4 separate regions of the Mus musculus genome follow, and all the other regions are reported to be linked to region 3. Evidence: microRNA targets listed by miRTarBase, many of them from high-throughput screens and not tested one by one. Region 3 holds a microRNA gene; each other region holds the end of a gene's coding sequence.
Evidence for each region. The annotated mature microRNA mmu-miR-223-3p reads UGUCAGUUUGUCAAAUACCCCA and lies in region 3 at 3,237-3,258, shown strand. An mRNA with a match to its seed (bases 2 to 7 or 8) in the 3' UTR can be bound and repressed. Matches are read on the target gene's strand: a 7mer-m8 pairs with bases 2 to 8, a 7mer-A1 pairs with bases 2 to 7 and ends in A, and an 8mer does both.

Region 1 (5,063 bases), not on the chromosome of region 3:
GCCACATGTGAAGCCCTTGAGCAGTGGAATGAGGAGTCTCACCAGTATACCAGTACTAACACATCTTAAGCAGGAGATTCTTTGAGGCTCCTGTCTCTTGCTCTCCACACATACAGATACTACTACATGTATGTATATATACACAACTAGCAATGCATATACTATATATACTTCAAAAATATTGTTAAAGTTTCACATACAAAGCACCACACAATTTTAAACACATCAGCTAGACAGACAGCCTATTATTATCTAGAAGACAAACTGAGTTCTTTAGAAAAGACTAAAGGACCTGGTGAACTATCCATTATTTCTCTAAAGTTGGCTTCTTTCGCAGGAACTCTGAGCTCACAGCTACTAGTGCTGGGTGAAATTACAAACTCATGCTTCCTTCTTAAACACAGACATCTCTCACTGAGTTAAGACAGCTAGGATGTCTGTTTAGGATTTGTTACTCATCCTGCAGAGATTCCCATCAATTTAAAGTGATTGCACAGTTTCCCGAATGTCAAAGGTTTACCTGTCAGAGTAGATAACATACCTTCGAGGAATTGAGTATCCTGTCCCCCACGTGTTTTAACAGGTTTGCTCAGAAAGGCCTATTACTTTCATTGTGTTGCTGACTTCGCATTCTTTTAACTTTACTGAAGAGAACTCAGGACAACACAGATTAACTTAGCTCTTTGTAAGAGTCAGCTCAACAATCCCCAGAGAACACAATACTAACTAGGGACCCTGGAGAAAGCTTCCAAATCTTTCTTACATTTTTTAAAAACCAAAGTCTCACCCAAAAAGTAATGCCTTCCTAGGTAGCAGTGCTGTGGGTTTCAATGCAAAGGACCATAGACATCACGCTACTTTGTCATGGTTATAGTTATGGTGGTCATCATGGTTATCATAAGCTTTGTGCCCCTCAGAATATATACAGAATAGGTTAGGAGATCCTGTGTTTCTCATGTATGTTATGAGAAATGAACTACCATAATCATATTATGGCAGGTCTTCCCAACATATATATTAACACAGTTGAAAATATATTCATACTCTTACATACTGAGCACAGGCTTACACTGATATTTATATTCATATGTATATATATGATGCACATAAAATCACATTCATGCTTAATGGGGTTTTAGTAATTGCTTTTGAACCTACTTACTCAAAAGGACACAAAATACGTGGTCACTATGTACATAGTGTATTCCTAGAGACATGCAGAGAAAACGAGTGCACAGAAAACAACAGTTGTCACGGACTGGTGTCAGGTCCCATCTCATGGTTTAGAGTATGGATACGGTCTAACAATCACAAGTGAATCTATGTGGCTATCTCTTAATTCTAAATTTAGAATGCTTATATCACAGGAACTGTTTGGTTACACTTTTGGATAGAATGGGTATGTATCTGCAGAAACAGAGAAATTGCCAGTAAATAGACCCCACTGCTCTTCTATGTTATAAAACACACCTAAAGGCAATATCCAAGAAGGTATTCTTGGTAGATGATTTTTGGAAATATATCTGTGCTAAATCGATCCTGTTTCATAGTCCATCCACAAATGGTTGGCTATTCCAGCTAGCCAATCTGCATGCGTAAGTTAGCATGTGACAGGAAAGCTGGCTTTTACTTATCAACCATGTACCTTTTCAAATCCTAAAAACACTTTTTAAAGTTATTATTATGCTAGACAAGATAAAACTACATCTATTGCGCTGACAACCTTGGTGTCCTCAACCAGGAGGTTGACTGAGAGATTAGAAACTGAGTGCGAAGCGAAGGTCCTTCAAGCTTACATTCCCGTCCTGAGGCCTGACGTGCACTCCGCACACGCCAGTGAAACCTCAGGCTTCGTTCATGTTGGTGTCTGCTGTTAGCAGAGTGCAAACCCTCTGAACTGCAGCAATCTGAAAATATTCTGGGGTGCCAGTGTTGAACTTCTGGGGAGGGGGTGGTGGAGTAAGGGATTATAGCTCGGTAGCAAAGAGAACAAAACTGTCCTGACACAGGGAGACATTTGGGACAAGGAATCTGTGGATCAAGAAGCAAGAGCTAAGGATGACAAGTGCCATTCCGTTGCTCACGACCGTCTGGGATCAATGGGAAGAAATGTGGAGAGACAAATCCCCAGTTTTCCTTGACATTGGTTTGTGCTGATTCAAGAACACACCAGTGGTTTTCTGAGTTAGTTTCTTCCAACAGAAGGAAGGGTTTGAAATATAGCAAGATGTACAAGCAGAGGAGGGACAAAGCCAAACCCTGAAGTATCTATTTCCTTAGCTGCCTGTTTTAGAGAATTCAGAGGAAGAAGCAAAGGGGGCGCTGAAAGGAGGGATTTGTGGGGAGACCTCATTGCCCACGAGTTGTTTGATTATAAACATTTGCTTAATGTATGTTTTTTTTTTTCATTTAGTTGGGACACTGTTTTCAAAGACAATGTGCATGTCTTATACGAGTTCCATTCACGGTTTTTTTTTCAACAGGGAAAAAAATTTAGAGACATTAGAGCTCTTCTATGTCACTTAAAGGTTGAAAAATACCCCTTTGTATGTTGCATGTTCTCTAATTTTTGCCAATTAAAAGTGGGATCTAACCCATTAGAATAAGTTCAATGCAGTGGCATTTCACTTGGAAAAAAAAACTTTTTAAAATAATGGTTAAAAGTTTTTACATCATATTTTATAGCCACTTGCTTCGGGTAGAAACTGCACAGGAAATTAAAGTGAAGTTTGCATACAAATCATGTTGACTGCCTTCAAAAGGAGATGTTGCAGTTAGTAAAACCTGATTTACCTTTGTGATTATGGAATAATGTCTGGGGACGCTACAATTCGGTGAAAGCCCGCCCGCTCTGCCGTCTGGGTGCGGTTAGCAGACAGAATTCCATTTGGCTTCTAGCTGGTTCCTATGTGCTAACCATCTGGTCATAGGTAGTTCAAAACGTAGCCTCGAGGTTGAACTAATAACCTCTAGGCTAGGCTGCTCATGTAAAGTTTAGAGATCTGAGAGGCTACAGACTTGTTCTGCAGCTCAGTATGGCCAGGATGTTGTTTTTCAGGAGCAAGCTGGAAACACGTGGGCCGTGCTCTTAAACCATGGCATCGCTGATGGATCACCTTCCCATACCAGGTTCCATACTTGCCATGCAATTGTGTCAGAGTAGGCTGTAAGATTTAAGGGAGTCTGGAATGGGTGGAGACACTAAAGTCGTTTTTTAAAAAGGATTCTTGTATAATCATTTATATATAAACCATAGAAATCATGTGCTAGCATACATTTAACTTTTTTCCAGCCAAAATAATAGTCACAATAACTAAACGGAGTTAGTTACCCATGCTGTCCAATCAACTGGAAAATTAAACACTTGCAGTGTCAGCCTTCCTTCATCATAGCTCACAAAGAGGTAAATAATAAGATAATAAATTCTATCTTCTCAGACACTTTTAGAATGGCAATTAGTTTTTGCTTCTTCTTTGAACTCTGAAAGGAGCCAAATCTATCAACTGATTGCCAGTACCCCTCACGCTTTGCCTGGATGGTGCTTGTGCCTCTAGCACAAAGCACAGCACACAAGCCCCAGGAGAGGCTCTCCAGGGCAAGCCCTGGGCACTTGCCCTTTGCAGACTGCCTCGGGCTCCTGAAAAGCTTTCATCTTCAGCAATGCTGATTTAAGAACCTTGCTTTTTTTTTTTTTTAAAGCAGTCCTATGAAATAAGGGGGGTGGGGGGAAGAAGCCTAAATAAGCAATTGCGGACTGAATGGTGGCGTTAACATCAGAAGGCAGAGTTTCTGCTGCCCTAAACAGAATGTGCGGAAGGTCGGTATGGTTCCAAGCTCACACTCTTGTATCTGTTAAGAGTCGTCATAAGCTTCTCTGTAGACAGCTTAGAAAGCTCTTCCAAAGCAACTTCTGATATATGTTGGGTAGACAAATGGTACCAAAGTATAGGGCTGCTGTATAAAACTACCTTGGTCAATACAACATATTTAAGCCTCTCTACAGGTTAGCAGGTTTTCGGAGTCAAACCCCAAAGGTCTGACATACCATGAGCAATGAAGATGAGTTGGTGAACACATTAGTAAGACTGGCTACTTGCCTATAGAGGTCCATACATGCGACTACTCATGGTTGAGCTGCAAAGGTTACCGAATGTGCTGCGTTTGCATAAATCATTAGTGGTTAATTGCCATGCCGGACACTTCGTTTAGTCTAACAGTGAGGATTCTAGTGGACGGATTATAGTGGGGCGAGTTGGTGATGGGGGTGGCCTCCGGCTAGAAAAAGAGAAAGAGACAGGTAAGGGAACAGGTGTTGTAGCAGTAGTTGTCTCTTCAGAACACTGACATAGAGCCACCATGCGCATGCACATGCAATTCCGGCCAGGAAGAGTGGCCACACACTGCAGCGACTCTCAGACTCTCCTCTCTGAGTCATCGGGGTAGCCCAGTTCCCAGTGGAAATTGTGTAGTTTTTCGTTATGCAAATCTTTATGAAAACCAAAGAGATTTTATTTCCCCCCAATACGAGTGCAAATGTGGAATGACTTAGAGGCCACTGTGAAACATCACTGCTCGGATCTGTGGCAGTCAAGCACAGTAGTTAGAGAGAGTGGCCTATACTTAGGTATACCCACTCCAGGAACTGATAAGATGTATTAAGTCTCAGCATTGGTTTTCAGTGTTCCCTGTCTCTGCCAGGGTGTTATCGACCACTGCTCTCTGCCTTAGCAGTGGCTTTCCCCAATCTTTTCCCTTCTGCTTTTAATGCAGACCATCAAAAACAGGAAGCCAAGGCTTTTGGAGTTTTTTTTTGCAGTGGTTGTGAACAGGCTCAATGGGTATGAGTTTCCTGGTAAGCTGCGTGAAGGACAGCTCCTGTTTGGAGTCTTACGGGGTTCGCCAAGATTCGTAGTAGTACTGGCTGCTATCTGGTTGGCTGCAGTGTTTCTGAAAGTCATCTGCACGATATTCAGTGTTATTGTACCCAAAAAGCTCAATATTATCAAGTCACATTATTTATCTCTTGAAATTATATTTATGTCACAAATATGTTAATGAGCCTT
Region 2 (5,063 bases), not on the chromosome of region 3:
CCTAACAATAGATAGGAGAGAAACAAAGTAGAAAAAAAAAATCTTCCAATCTAATTTCTTTCCAAATCCCCACCCCCCCACTCCTGTTTGATCAACAGCCAGCTGCCCTGCCTCTTGGGGCCCTAGCATCTGTATACCCTCTAAAAAGTTCCCAGAATTCCAAATGTCAAAACTGATCTGCAGCTGGCAAAACCGCACCTCTATCAGAGCACGAGGCAAATCATAATCAGCTGCTTCAGCCTCATGTCTTCACATCTGTGATTAAAACAAAAGCATATTCTTATGTCTGTGTTTTGTAAAGAAAGTGAAATTCCAGAATTGTCAGTACACTTTTTTTGTTTTTTCTTTTTCAGGAACAAAGAAAGGGTGAGCATGGTGCTGTCCCAGGGTTCTTTCATAAGATCGTGGATGTGTGTGGTTTGGAGCTGAGCTGAGCCCTGGGGGTGGGAATAGGGGTGGGGTGGAAGTAGCTGTTTTGGAGAGGATGACAGCCTAGACTTCTGTTCTTGTCTCCTGAACTTTTCCTTCCTTCTAAACACTCACTTTTTCTGCAAAGTATGCCTCCATTCTGGCCCTGATAGTGCACAGATACATCAATTACTCGGGCCTGAGTGTCCCCCATTTCTGGTTTGCCCACAGGACTGCACCGGGTAAGAAGGTCATTTACAGCCAGCCCAGTACTCGAAGTGAGGTGAGTGTACCTGCCCCGAGGAGGGGAGGCCTTGTGCTTCAAGTGGCCGTTTCTAGCCTCTTTGCGTGTTTGTGAGCAAAACGAGACTGTGAAGTTGACTGGATGTTTTATTTCCCAGGGGGAATTCAAACAGACCTCGTCGTTCCTGGTGTGACCTGCTGCGGCTCCTCCGTTGTCCATTTGCCTTACTCAGGTGCTACAGGTTCCAGCCCCCTGCTGGCTGTAGCTGCACAGGATGCCTTCAATGTCTTCTAGGTCCCACAGGACCCCTTGCTTTTATTCTAGCTAGGGTATAAATTTAAAAACATCATCTACTTCCCCCTCCTCTTTCCCACCCTCCCTCCTTTCCTTACCACCATTGGGTGGCCCGAGACTAATTACAAAGTTTTCGTTCCCCATTCCTATGTGGGATTGGGCAAGAGTCCTAGACTAGACAGTAATAGTGGCTGGGCTGACAGGAACCCAAACCAATACCTGGCTGTAAAGGCCTCTGAATAAGGACTTTAAGCCTAGCTCCCTGCTTTCTCCTCCCCGGATGGGGTGCCAGCTACTCTAGAGGGGGAGCTGCAGAAAGGAGGGGCTGAGGATGGTGACCTCAGGTCTCTAGTCTTCGGAGCCTCTCTTCTGTCTCCACAAAATGTGCCACTGGGATTCTCCTGGATTCAAAGTAAACTGACATGGTGTCCGTACGAGGTGGGAGAGCTCTGTTAGCTCCCAAGAGACTTGGAGTAAGAAAGATTTAAAGTGATCTAAAGAAAAGGCTGGAACTGGTGGCCATTAGTCACTCTTCATTTGGCTGGAACTACCGCATGGACCCTTTGAAGATATGTGTGGATGGAGAAGATACGAGCTTTATAGTCTTGGCTCTTTGGTGGCCTCGTGTGTGTGTGTGTGTGTGTGTGTGTGTGTGTGTGTGTGTGTGTGTGTGTGTGTGTGTGTGTGAGAGAGAGAGAGAGAGTTGTAAATTGATATTGTTATATAGAAGGGCTTTCTAGCTCTTTGGCAAGGTTGTGTTTCTGTGTGTTTATATTTGACAGATGTTGCTGGAAATAAAAACTTCATTTGACAGACTTCTTTTTTGTTGAACATGGAATATTTTAGGGATTGTGAGCTACTTTGTATAAACAAGAAAAGACACAAAAGTTCTGCTTCCCAGCAACCCATGGCTGATTCCCAGGACTATATTCTTAACTCAAGGCAAAGCTTCCGGGCATCAGAGCTGTTCCGTAGCCTCCTGCTGCTGCGTGGGCGAGGAAGGTGCTGCTGTGCTGGAGGGGGATTTCGTGAAGTGGGCGGAGGAAGTGTCTGTGCACTCTCCTGCCTGGCCTTCATGGTGGACCTCCCCAAGTCGTCCTCTAAGGGAGAGTTCCTCCATCATCAAATGTTTGAGAAAGCAGCAATTAGCAAGATAGGTCTGATGGTCATTGCTCTCTTACCATTTGGGCCCTTCTATAGAGAAGAAGAATAATGAACGAGGCTCTCATAACTACGCTGCGCTTCAGACGTCTCAAACTTCAACCAACTCGGCTGTTTTTTATTTTGGCAGGATCTGTGAAGTAAGGACCGATTGGTTGGAAAAGGGGTTCGGTTGGGAATGAAGTGACAGTTTTCCTCAGGGTGCATGGGGACAGTTTAATTAAACTATTCCATTCCATACTTGGAATTTTTTTTATGTTTTTTTTTTTGTTGTTGTTGTTTTTACTTTCGAGACAGGGTTGATTTTCTTGGTTTTAAGACAGCTACAGGGCTGGCGAGATGGCTCAGTGGATAAGAGCACTGACTGCTCTTCCAAAGGTCCTGAGTTCAAATCCCAGCAACCACATGGCGGCTCACAACCACCCATAATGAGATCTGACACCCTCTTCTGGTACGTCTGAAGACAGCTACAGTGTATTAATGTATAATAATAAATAAATCTTTAAAAAAAAAAAAAAAGACAGCTACAGCCGGGCAGGAGTGGCTCATGCCTTTAATCCCAGCACTTGAGAGGCAGAGGCAGGCAGATTTCTAAATTCGAGGCCAGCCTGGTCTACAGAGTGAGTTTTCCAGGACAGCCAGGGCTACACAGAGAAACCCTGTCTCAAAAAAAATCAAAAAAGTAAAAAGAAAAATAAAATTTAAAAAAGACAGCTACAATGTACTCATATACATAAAATAAATCTTTTAAAAAGAAAAACCAACCAACAACAAAATTCACTGGGGATCCATCTAAAATAATAGTAACATAATAAAGCCTGTCTAAGAAATAAGGGTTAGGGTATTTTCCTCTACGGTGGTCTTTTTTTTTTTTTTTTTTTCCCTTCGAGACAGGGTTTCTCTGTGTAGAACTCAGAAATCCGCCTGCCTCTGCCTCCCGAGTGCTGGGATTAAACACACCCGGCTTACGGTGGTCTTTTGATGGTCACTGACCGTCCTCTGATGAGACTGTAATAAACACAGCTGTCTTTGTGTTCTGTGTGTCTATTGAATTTATTTGCTGGAAAGCAGAAGCCAAAGAGTCTCTAACGAGGTATTTTCTTGTTCTGCTTTCGTGTGATGTCTGTTCTTGCAGGTGTGTGCTTGCATGTAGGTGCGACGAACGTGCAGGCCAGAGATCAGTGTTAGGTGGCTTCCTCAATAGTTTTCCACCTCTCTCAACTGAACCTAGAGATTACCAAATTTTGTATATTTTATAAACTCAAGCCCTGCAGGGGGCCAGCACACACACACACACACCCCGCTCCCCATGAGAAGCTCCAGCAGCTAGGCCCCGCCCCTGTCTTTCCTCATAGCCAGAAAGGATAAAACAGCTGTAACTGTAGTTCTAGACCCACAATGTGGGGCCGGTAATATGGCTAAGCCCCGCTCCCAGGCTTCTCTAACTGCTCCAAGGGTTGTTTTCTAATGGCTGTAATGGCCATTCCCAGCCTGAGGCAGGAGAATGGCCAGGCCCCACCCTATATGGAAAAAAAATTCCACCAATCCTGAGTTTGCCCTAAAGATCAGACCACACAATGCCTCCAATCCTAGGCCACTTTGGAAAGCCCGTCCCCAAAGGAGCCCATATAAACCCTGCGTTGGTGAACTCTCTATGATAAGCACAAGCTCTCTTAGCCCTACAAAGTCCCTTATGGGTAGTATTGCTTGGTGATCTTGCCTAGCAGAAAGTGGTTGGATCAAAGATGGCTGCCTTCCTCACAACATTTCTGCTTGCAAAATAATGAACCCTCCTAGCAGATAGCTGAGAGTTGCCACGACAACAGAAAGCACTATCTAAGCAGAGAAAGAGTGGAAGCTCAACTTACTACCAGAAGACATGATTATGACTTCCCCTTATTAGCCCACCCCCCCCTTTTTTTAAAAAAAAAAGATTTATTTTATTTATATGAGTATTCTGTCTTCAGACAAACCAGAAGAGGGCATCAGATCCCATTACAGATGGTTGTGAACCACCATGTGTTTGCTAGGAATTGAACACAGGACCTCTGGAAGAGCAGTCAGTGCTTTTAACCGCTGAGCCAGCTCTCCAGCTCCCCCTCCCCCCCCCTTTTTTTGAAGGATTAATATGTTCTCCAAGCTGACTTTGAACTCACTGTAGCTGAAGATGATCTTGAATTCTTGATCTGCCTACCTCTGCCTCCTAAATTCTGTCAGAACAAGTGTATGACAACACAGGGCTTTCTCTCCTTTTTTCTCTTTCCTTTCTCTCTTACCATCTTTTCCTTTTTTCTCCTCCCATCCCATCCCCTGCCTTCCCCTCCCCTCCTCTCCCCTTCACTTCTCTTTTCTTTCACACTGGGTCTCACTGTGTGACTTTGGCTGACCTGGAACTGAATTGGCTAGTGGATCAGTTTTTGCAAACCTCCTTCCTCTTTCTGTTCCGAACACTTCTTGCTAGAATACAAGGCGTGCACCATAACTTCTTCTCTTTTCTTTTACTCGGTTTTAAAACTTCCTGACAAAAACAAAACAAAACAAAACAAAAAAATTAGCTGGGTGTGGTGGTGCTTATGCCTTTAATCCCAGCACGCAAGAGGTGGAGGCAGGTGGAGAACGCAGTCTGGTCTCAAAACAAAAACCGAAAACAAAAAAAAATGCTTTTCTGACAGCTGCACCCCTAGGATGGGGTTGGGGAGATGGCTCCGTGGGTAAGAGTTTTTACTGAACAAGCACAAAGAGCTAAATTTGAATCCGGAACATCCACATGGAAGCCAAATGTGGTCTGTAATCCCAGCTCTAAGGAGGGCAGAGACAAAAGGATTCCTGGAGACTGGCTGTGAGCCTCAGTTTCAGTGAAGGACCCTGTCTCCAGGGAATAAGACAGAGTTTGACAGAGGAAGATGCCCAGTGTCCTCCCGCAGCCTCTGGGGTGGGCTTGGGCGCCCGCATCCAT
Region 3 (5,076 bases):
AGGCAGAACACAAAGGAAACTTGTACTTCCTGCTTTCCCACTCTGTAGCATGGGAAGTCAGTGTTTTTGGAGGTTGGTTGAGAATGGGTGGAGACAGAGCAGTAGGGGCTATTGCTGCATTAGCAACTACTCCTTTCACAATAGCTCTGTTTTGTCATTTTGTACCCAGATTTCCGTTGGTTAGCCTCAACTTTATCTTCCTCATTTCTGTTTCCTCTTCATGACACCAAGAGTCCTTCAGAACATGTGACCTTCCTGCTCACAACATAAAACTCAGCTTTCTGTGGCCTCTATAGTTCGGCTCAGCACCTATATCCCATCCAAGACAAAGGCACCACTTCAATGACAGGTATAGTATCTACTTGTTCTCTTAGATTCCCATGCTGAAACAGTGCCCACAACAGCTTTCAGTGTTCTGGATATGCCTAACTGACTCTCAGATCCCAGTTACTGATAAAGGGTCAAAGATAAGACTGATGAAGGTTTCTATTCACTTTCTATCCATGTGATAGAGAGAAGGGACACAAAAATTTCTAACAAATGATGGCTTTTAGAAGATAGTCATGTAGAAGTTAAATGCTTATCAGAGCCAGGAGTTAGGAGTTCTAAATAGCATTTTAAATTTTGTTCTATATCTGTTACTTTTCTTTGGGTGAGTTGTTTCTATAGTCTAGCACTCAGTGTTTGAGTCCCTTTTGCAGAGAAGAGAAAGACAAAGGTGAGATGCTATTTAATGTCTTAGCCTCTATGTCTCTTATTTTGAAGGTTACCAGTCTTTGGTTGGGAAAGAAGATGAGACTGCTGCTTGAATGTACACCTCTAGGCAGAGCTGAACATCCTTTAGAAAACTGCTGGTGGTCTGAAAGGTATGACTAAAACATGAAAGGTTCTTTTTTTTCTAGTTTTGTAAGTCACTACTCCAATTTCAGAATTTAAAAGGCACATAGACGTGAGGACAAATATATATGTGAGGAACAGAGGTCCTGAGAGAAGAAAAGGTAGTTTCCCAAGGCCACACAGAAAACCTGTACTACAACTCAGTCTAAGCCCAGGACAGTGTCCTTTTTCTTCTGCTTTAGGAGGACTGAGATACCAAGAAATAATGGGTATCCTGCAACTGAGGCAGGTGACTCTCCTTATATTGAAAAAAATCTGGATATTAAGACATGGTCCTGAGTACTTCTTTATCACCAAATATATTTTCTGATATGTGGCTTATTCTGGACATTTATAGATTTTTGGTAAAATCTTATACCTCTTTTACCAAGCTTATGCCTTTCAATTTGCGTCATGAAGACTGACTATGTAGTCATCTATGTCTTCATTCTTATGGGTCTGACTAACTTTAATCAACTAAACTTGCTTCTCTTATATGTATTCCTCTGAATAGGTGTGAACTGGAACATCAAGAATGAAAATGAAATAGTCCCTTACCCAGCTTAAGGACTGACTTCTCCATCAATCCTGGAAAACAGTATTTATAATAATCTATTAAGTCAGTGCACTAGAACTCTTTAGCCCCTTTCATGGCTCTTTTCCAGTGTTCTTGGGTTATGTGAGGTCGGATAGGGCAATTGAGAGGCTATGGATATCTCTAAAGTGTCTAGCTCTCCTTACAGCAGATGATAAGCAGAGATGCTGTCAAGAAAACCAAAACCAATAACCCATTACTCCTTTCTCTTTTAATCACTTTCCTTGGCTTTTACTAGCTCCAGAGTTGGAAATAAGGTCTCTTTAAGCTCCCTTCTAAAAAGCTCTAGAAGTCTCATCCAACATTTTTCAAGACCTTGAGATGTAAGATTTCTGTCTCTATTTCTAGAGAAGACAATTGATGCCCAAGAAAACTTTAAACCTGGGTAGGACAAAATTTGATACTATCAAGCATTTTGAATAACAGGATCATGATGCTAAACAAAATATCAAATAAATTGAGATGGCTTGGCTCTTCTGGCAGCTGCCCTGGTAGCTATGAGTTCAAACATCTTAATACTTCCCTGCAAAATCCACTGCCTGTTTTGCTCTTTGTTGCTGTTGCTCTCCCTTTTGCAAGGGAATATAAAAAGCAGACAAGAAAAAGTGGTGGGGTGGACAGCCAAGGGACACAATGAGCTGATGGATGATATAATTCCCAAACTGTAAACAACTTGTTTTATGACCTTTTGGAAGTCTTTCCCTAAACATCAGACTTCATTTTCTCATTTATAATCTTGAATGGGTAAAACTAGATGACTTATAAGGGCATTTTAATATCATTAATTCTTTACTGCTTATGAGAAAAGGCAACCAAGTTAGACAAAGCCGGCTAAGGCCACAAGAAATTACTGTTTCAATTCTGTTAAATAAATTATCTATCTTTTCCCCTGTTAGTATCTATCTTATATGTTTAATTTTAAAGCACATTTTAGTCACTTTTATTTATGTACAGGGGATCAAATACAGAGTATTGTACAAGTTAGGTAAGTGTTCTGCTACTGAGTTTTATCTCTAGATCTTGATTGTTTACTTTTTTGTTTGAGAAAGGGTAGTATTATATAGCCCAAATTGACTTTAAATCTGAGGTTCTCCTATCTCTGTCTATGAAAGCTTGTATGCACACATGTACTATCATACCTGGCTATAGCCACAATTTTTGAGTATTTGTTAGGTAACAAACACTAAATTAATGGCTTTATATGCATTATTACATATTCTTGCCATGATTTCATGGGCATTTTTGTGGCTATGGAAGAAGTAGGTTTCAGGGACATAAACTCATTTATTTAAGGTGTTCAGCTAGTTAATGGTAGAGGTAGAATTCAAATCCAGTTTTAAAAATCAACATCTAGGTACATAACCAGGGTAAACAGAGCATACAAGAAGTTGATAGGAGGAAGGAACACATAAATTGTCCCCGAGGACAGAATGATGACAATTTTTTCCTGTTTCAGCTGAATAGAAGAGTTAATTGAGGCTTGGGCCACCAGAATCTCCAGACAAACACCCAGGATCCCCGTTTTTGTTTGGAGCATTAGCGTGTTTTGTTCACTTCCCTCTTTTGGTGTGTCTTAGTCAGTCATGTTAGTGTCTGCCATTTGTCTCACACTTAGGGTAAGATATAATCACCCTATTTTTTTCTCTTTCCAGTTGCACATCTTCCAGCATGTTCTTGCTGCCCAGTGGAGGTTCCTGATCTGGCCATCTGCAGTGTCACGCTCCGTGTATTTGACAAGCTGAGTTGGACACTCTGTGTGGTAGAGTGTCAGTTTGTCAAATACCCCAAGTGTGGCTCATGCCTATCAGCTCCAGGTCCAGGACAGAGCACATAGCCTGCTGCCTACATATGAATGCTTATGAAACATGAAGCTCTCTGGTGTTATTCTATGTCTTTAAGGGAACTATAACATTTATTCAGAGAACATCAGAGTAGGAACGATGCAGCTCTGGGGTCTACAAGTCTGGTATGCATCTGTGTACATTGTGAAAATGCCATGGACTGCATAGTGGTACATGAGGGATACAGGGAATGAGAGTATTATTTGATTTATTATTAATGTCTTCTTTCACTTTCCTCTTCTTGCAGCCAGAATAGCAGAATTTTCATACAAGCATCATGAATTCTATGAGAAAGTAGGAAATAAATATCCACTGTCTGGCCTTCGGAGCACATCTTAAGCTACCTACATTTTCTCTTTTCCACTTTGCTTTTATCATTCTTAAAAGAACCTTCTTGTTTATCTTCATTGGGCTTTCAGACACTACCAAATTCCAATTCCTCTTGGCACTATTGAAAGTTAACCTATACTTTTCTTTACTCCTTGGCTAACCACATACTGGTATGTGCTATTATATGTCCTACCATCCAACACATCTTCTAAAGTTGTCAGTGAATTTTTCCAGGGTATGTTCTTGAATTCCCTATTATATTGTAAGAATCTAGAGCTTATTATATTCAGTTGATTGCTGTCTCTCATACCATTGTCCAACATTTTAATTATTAATAAATATTTACCAATTAATTGATGTTTTACTAGTCAATAACCTTTTGCTATATAGGTCAAATACCAACCAGGGTTTTGCGAAAAAAATAAATCAAACTGTGGGTATTCTAATGCTATAGTGTATACAAGATGGTAACCAAAATGGATTTTTTTTTCCTCTGAGAAATAAGATTTAGGTCTGGGGCAGGAGGGCAAGAAGAAAGAATAGACTCAGAGGGAAAAATTTTTTGAATTATTGGTTTACACGTGTCTTTTTAAACAGAATTTTCTGAGCCTTTAATATTCTATCATTGCACTGGGGTGAACTTCTAATATAGAACTATAAAATGAAGCATCTCCAATCCCTCTCTCCAGAGTCTAACATTTCATAACATATATTTTGGCAAGCTTCTTTAGAGAAATTCCATACTCTCCCTTGGTTCTGGAGAAATTCCATACTCTCCCTTGGTTCTGGAGATACCTACTTTCATTCTTTAACTTTTCACCCACTAACCAGTGACCTAAATAACAAGACCCATATTGTTACCCCAATTTTGCTCAGAATTGTCGGAGGGATGCATCTCTATCTAGGGATGACTTACTGGCTTACCCTGCATGGAAAAATACCATTGTTTAGGGACAAAGACCATCTTCAGAAGATGTCTGCAGCAAAGTACACACACTGCTAAAAATCCACAGGTCTAACCTCCAGTCTTTGTTCTGCCATTGACTTGATGTATGTTACTTTTGACAAACCTTCATTTCTCTCTGGGCTTCACTTCCCAATTTGTGGTATGTGAATGTTCAGATAAGTAATCTGTAAACATTTTCACATGCAAGAATAGGAGACATTCCTGGTGGTTCCAGTGTTGGGGGTTCCCTGAATTTGTGGCTCACTTTACTAGGGCAATTTCAATAAACATTCTCTCTTCAAGCCCAGGGATTAATTCTAAAGAGCAGAATGAGATAAAGGGTGTTTTCAAGGCTTTCAGGGCTGGACTCACAGATGTTTCATGAAGGAAGCTGAGGTTTCTACTGGGTGGTACCCAGGTTGTGGAGGCTGGTAAGTGAGATGGAGAAGAAGAAGTCATCTCTGACACTAATTATGCATAGCTAGCAT
Region 4 (5,063 bases), not on the chromosome of region 3:
CTTTCGTCTTAGCTCCAAACTTTGTCTCTGTAACTCCTTTCATGGGTATTTTGTTCCCTATTCTAAGGAGGAATGAAGTATCCACCCATTGGTCTTCCCTCTTCTTGATTTTCTTGTGTTTTGCAGATTGTATCTTGGGTATTCTAAGTTTCTGGGCTAATATCCACTTATCAGTGAGTGCATATCTAATGACTTCTTTTGTAAATAAAGAAAAATCTAATAAAAAAAGAATTAAAAAAAAAAAGATGGGAAAGAGGTAGGAAAGGGGGCAGGCAAGGCAGTGTACACTCAGCAGAGCCGAGTGGGCAGCTCTGATGCATGCTGCTCTCTCCATCTTTACACACTTGTTTTTTACTTTGAATTACTGATAATGTAACTTTAAAATGTACACTACTCACAAAATCAAACTACGAAGATAACCTACAGGAAATAAAGTCTATGTAAGACTTCTTAAATGACTATGTCACGGAGACTGACAACCAGCCAACACTCCAATACCAGTTTAATAATTTTTCACATTTCTTATCAGACTTTCTAGAAAGCAGTGTTCAGCTGAAATAGAACCCTTTGTGTGCTCAATTTCATGAAATAATTCTATATTCTTATGCTCTGAATGGAGACCGATGTTCCCATCTTGTATAAAGTCCTGGGTTACTCAGAAAATTATGCCGTTTTTTCCATCTTATGCTGGAAAAATCTTTAGTATGGTTAGAATTATCTTCAAGTTTCACAGCAAATTGTAAAGGCTTATACATAATATAAGCCTTTTATATGGAGTCTGTAACTCCAAAAAGCTATACTTTATTACTCAACTATCAAGTAGTTCAAATGAAATTTGAGGCTGGGCATCCTTGAGCTGTGGGATGCATTCTGTCATGGCACTCTACTGTTAAAAAGTAGCATTTAGGTGATTTTAAAACATTAACAAACATTTCTTTGCAACAGTAAGAAAGACAGTGGGACGATCTGGAGTGTTGATAACTACAGGCAAACCTGGCAAGGTAGGAATACTGGCACTTAACATTTTTTTGCTTAACACAGAGTGCCACAGCTGGGACAGCCTACCCTTCCTGCATCAGCTTCCTGAGTACTGGGTGTAACTTTATGGACTCCATTTTACTTTTAGACTTAGGAAAATTGTCCTTCCTCTGAAACTATACATCTGGTAGTTTAAACAGATACATATGAACTAATTATGCCAATTAACATAGTTTCTTATCCTAACCTTAAAAACCTCAATATTGCTAATAAAATTTTTACCGATTTCATAGAACTCTGTTACCTTCTTCCTGGCAAAGGTCTTAGTGGATTTCATACAAAGAAATAGGTGTCCAACATAAAATGTAATCAATATGAATCAATCCCCTTCTTATGTAGGTGATTTGAAATACATTGTCAAAAGCAAATCTTGTTTATTAAAAGAAAGTTTTTCTCTCAATTATAAAAATTCAATTTATTTGTTTCTAAATTCCCAAGAGAAAGCTTTTACTAACAAAGCAGCTGAACACTGAAAATGCTGTAAGGTTAGCTAGTGTGAGAGACTGCGGCAGTGAGCATAACAACATAAAGCAACAGGACTTTTACCTCATGTTCTTTTGATAGAGTGCTATTCTAATCTAATGCACTGAACTTTAAGAATTCTAGATGTCAAACTTCCCACTTCAATATCTTGATACTTTTAAAATAAGACCATATTGATGGAAATTATTAAAAGAGGGTAAAGCCAGCCACACCCTGGATGGGCAGGAGGTGGGGAGGGACCTTGCTCTCTGTCATTAGAGAGCGATCTGGAACTCCTCCCAGTGTCTTAATGTAGCCTAGAACCTTGTTTTTCCTTTTAAGCAAGTGTAACCTACAAATAACTACCTGAAACAAAGAGCAACATCTATTTTCAAGTATTGGAGCCTCCATGCAATCCCAAAGAAAACCACACACAGTTCTGTCCCAATGCTGGTTGTAAACTAACAGAATTAAGGCATAGCTGATCTTCCTGTACCTGGTCACAATACTGCAACATCACTTTAAAAACAAACAAACAAACAAACAAACAAGAGCAACACTCAAATTCTTAACTCTGAAACGGAACCATTCCTACTTACTGTACTTCTTGGAGTTGAGTAGACTCTTGTGAAAAGAACAATACTTTTAAACATGATTCTTCATTTTTATAAAATGACCCTAATGTCCAGTGTGTGACTTTGAGGTATACATGTATTAACACCAAAGTTAATTGATACCAGTATTTGTATATATAAAGTTACCAAAAAAAAAAGAAAATAGCTTGATGACAGCATCAGTATAAAGAGTGAGGAGGACAGCACCTGCGGTTTAAAAGCCTGCATGTATATACCCTATGGCACTCAAATAGAAGCCAATGCCATAGTCCTTTCTTTCCAGTAACAGCAGAACCCTTTGTTAAAACTCAGTAGTAGTCTAAAATTAGTAGGAAATCTAGAGCAGACACAAAGATGAAAGATGAAACTGCAGCAAGAGAGCATGGCAAATCCAAAAGACCTATTAGTGCATAAATCTACGGGAAAACAACAACAACAACAAAAGAGATAGAGAGAATTAACAAGCTACAATAGAAGTTATGTCTTTAAAGCAGATTATAAACAGGGTGGGAAATGTTTAATATGTGTCCTCCTGAAAAAGCAGTTACCGACTTTTGCATTAAAAAAAGGAACAGCTGGTGCATTTTCACAGCATCTGGATTTATTTATGGTATAAAGCCATAGGATTGTGATAGTATTACTCCTTTCCCACCCTGGCAGAGTAAACATGAACTCAGAAGCACAGTGGAGTGAAAACAAAGGAGAGAGAGAAAAGGCAGCAGAGAAAGACAGAAAAGGTGAATACAGAGCTACAGAAGTGTTTATTGAGCATGCTACAGAGGTAAGCAGAGTACACACAAAGTGAAATTAAACAACCATCAAACCTCCCAACTTTGTTAGAAAATTAATTTTTAATTGTGCCGCTTTCAAACTATACTGAATTTTACATTTCTAAAGATGTAAAAACTCAACTAATAGAAAATATACATGACCATTCTGTCTACATAGATAACAGAATCTATGAATCTTGAAACTAAGTACATCAATTTCAAAAAGTATTGGTCATTTAACAGAATCAACAATTCAGATTGACAAGAACTGTTCAAATAAATTTGACCTGTAGATTCTGAGCCATGTTTTTATTAAAGTCAGATCTATTCCTAAATACAAAATATTTTGAAGATTTATTAAAACTGAATATTACAATGCAAGGTAAATTAAGACTAAAGGCACATAAACTTTGGTCCCACCTGGTTGTCAGTTTTAGAAAACTGCCACAAAATTAATCTTCCTGCAAGTTTTCGCAGTACACTTTCTTTGTCTTTGAAAAATACATGCACCAGTTCCTGAACTAGCTAGACCAGTCTGCACATGCTCAGAAATCCACAACCATTTTCCAAATCTTAATTACAAACTAAGGATGGCAATATATATTTAAATGCACGTAAGTCATGTCAACTTCAAAAACATCTACGAAAAATATTCAGCCACAAACAAGACATTACTTAGTGCTGACATTTATATGACACGTCCCACAAGAGTGTGTACAAAAAGGTTAAGGTTCCACAATGCTTTCCACATAGGGCTCAAACTTACAGAAATCACTTGTCTTAAGAAATTAATACTCTGCATCTTGTTAATTTTAACTAATGCCTACATTCATAACTGAATCTAGACCAGATTTGTGAGATACAAAAGGCCAATGTTTTCAAAAGCAATAAAGCCTAAGATAGTAAAAACTAAAAATGCTGTTTTATACTCTCAGTATCAAGTATCTTATTAGATTAAATAGAAAGAAATGTGATAAGCCAATAATTCAAAGAAAGTTCCAAGCAGGAGAAATAAAAACTTAACCTTTTGACACACCCCTGCCCAAACATATTTTAATTCCCACATAACGATGTGCCCTAAACAACCAATTCCTTTTTCCTAGTAAATGCAGAATAGCAACACTAGTTTTCCTTTGTAAGGCACGTATGTCAACTAAGTTGGAAAAAAAAAAAAAAGCAAAATTAAACTAAAAATTTAAACAGACAAAAATGGCTTCCCTATTGAACAGATGAAACACAGCAGTTAGCAACTCTGCCTTTACATATGCCATTTCATTTTATAACCAAGGAATGATAACAGCATGAAAAAAATCAAACTCTGGTCCCCACTTTTCTGAACAGTCAATAGGTGATGACACCAACAATGGGATCTGCCCGCCATCTTCATCTCCCGTGCTTAGATTGTTGACTTGGAGAAAGACACTCTCAGATGATGGTTTTCTCCAAGGTTATAATTATGAAGATCAATCAAAGCCTGAATAGCTTCCTCCACTGTTGCCATCTGAAGAAGAGCCATTTTGTGATCTCTTCTGAAACAAAATTATGAAATTAGATACTTCATAAGAAGAGTTTAAACACTGATTTTCACCCATTTGAGGTAAATAAATAGATATATTTGAAAAAAAAATTTAAGTTCTATCAAGTCACACATTTTAAGACAAAGAAGCTTGCTTACTGAAAAAACTTAAATGCTTTCACAGTGCCCCCGGTGTTGGCAAACAGAGTTCGCAGATCCTCTTCTGCTACAGAAGGGCTAGAAAAAGAAGACAGGGAGAGTCCAGATGAATACAGATAACCATAGACCTGCTTGGCTGATAATATGACTGTGCTCAGTCATGAGCTGAAATAGATACTCACGGGATGTTAGACAGGTGAAGGGTAGCAGAAGGAGGGAAAATGTTCTGAAAGTTTTTGGATCCCGGTTTTTTAAAACGGTGCAGTGGTGAATTCCCAAAATCTTTTGTTAGCCCTTGATCATCAAGTCCCTCTCGAGGTAGTTGCACAGTCTGATGTTTAGAGAGAGTAACACGAATAATTTTTCCATACATCTTCTGCCCATTAAGATGATTCATGGCTAGGAAAATAAAGAATACCTATTAAAATATCAAAAGTTTAGGATAAAAATACTTCTAATTTGGAAATTCTGAATTTTCTTACAACTTAAAAATCATGAATTTAT

Region 1: the mRNA of Dnm3 is a reported target of mmu-miR-223-3p. The part of its 3' UTR that is shown has no 7-base or 8-base seed match.
Region 2: the mRNA of F11r is a reported target of mmu-miR-223-3p. Seed matches in the 3' UTR shown: 8mer at 1,362-1,369.
Region 4: miRTarBase lists Ptbp2 as a target of mmu-miR-223-3p. Seed matches in the 3' UTR shown: 8mer at 3,310-3,317.

The regions. Positions count from the first base shown.
Region 1 is chr1:161,987,817-161,992,879 of GRCm38, forward strand. It overlaps Dnm3 (dynamin 3), which reads right to left. Exons shown (of 21, transcript NM_001038619.2): 21 at 1-4,275. The coding sequence ends at 4,206. Among named protein-coding and RNA genes, the nearest start is that of 4930558K02Rik, 11 kb to the left of the region's middle.
Region 2 is chr1:171,462,250-171,467,312 of GRCm38, forward strand. It overlaps F11r (F11 receptor), which reads left to right. Exons shown (of 10, transcript NM_172647.2): 8 at 354-366; 9 at 640-691; 10 at 810-2,344. The coding sequence ends at 845. Among named protein-coding and RNA genes, the nearest start is that of F11r, 27 kb to the left of the region's middle.
Region 3 is chrX:96,239,648-96,244,723 of GRCm38, forward strand. It overlaps Mir223 (microRNA 223), which reads left to right and starts at 3,170; the gene lies at 3,170-3,279. F630028O10Rik (RIKEN cDNA F630028O10 gene) reads left to right here and starts at 279. Exons shown (of 3, transcript NR_030718.1): 1 at 279-349; 2 at 766-866; 3 at 1,391-3,995.
Region 4 is chr3:119,716,048-119,721,110 of GRCm38, forward strand. It overlaps Ptbp2 (polypyrimidine tract binding protein 2), which reads right to left. Exons shown (of 14, transcript NM_001310711.1): 12 at 4,742-4,958; 13 at 4,560-4,637; 14 at 2,695-4,410. The coding sequence ends at 4,281. Among named protein-coding and RNA genes, the nearest start is that of Ptbp2, 65 kb to the right of the region's middle.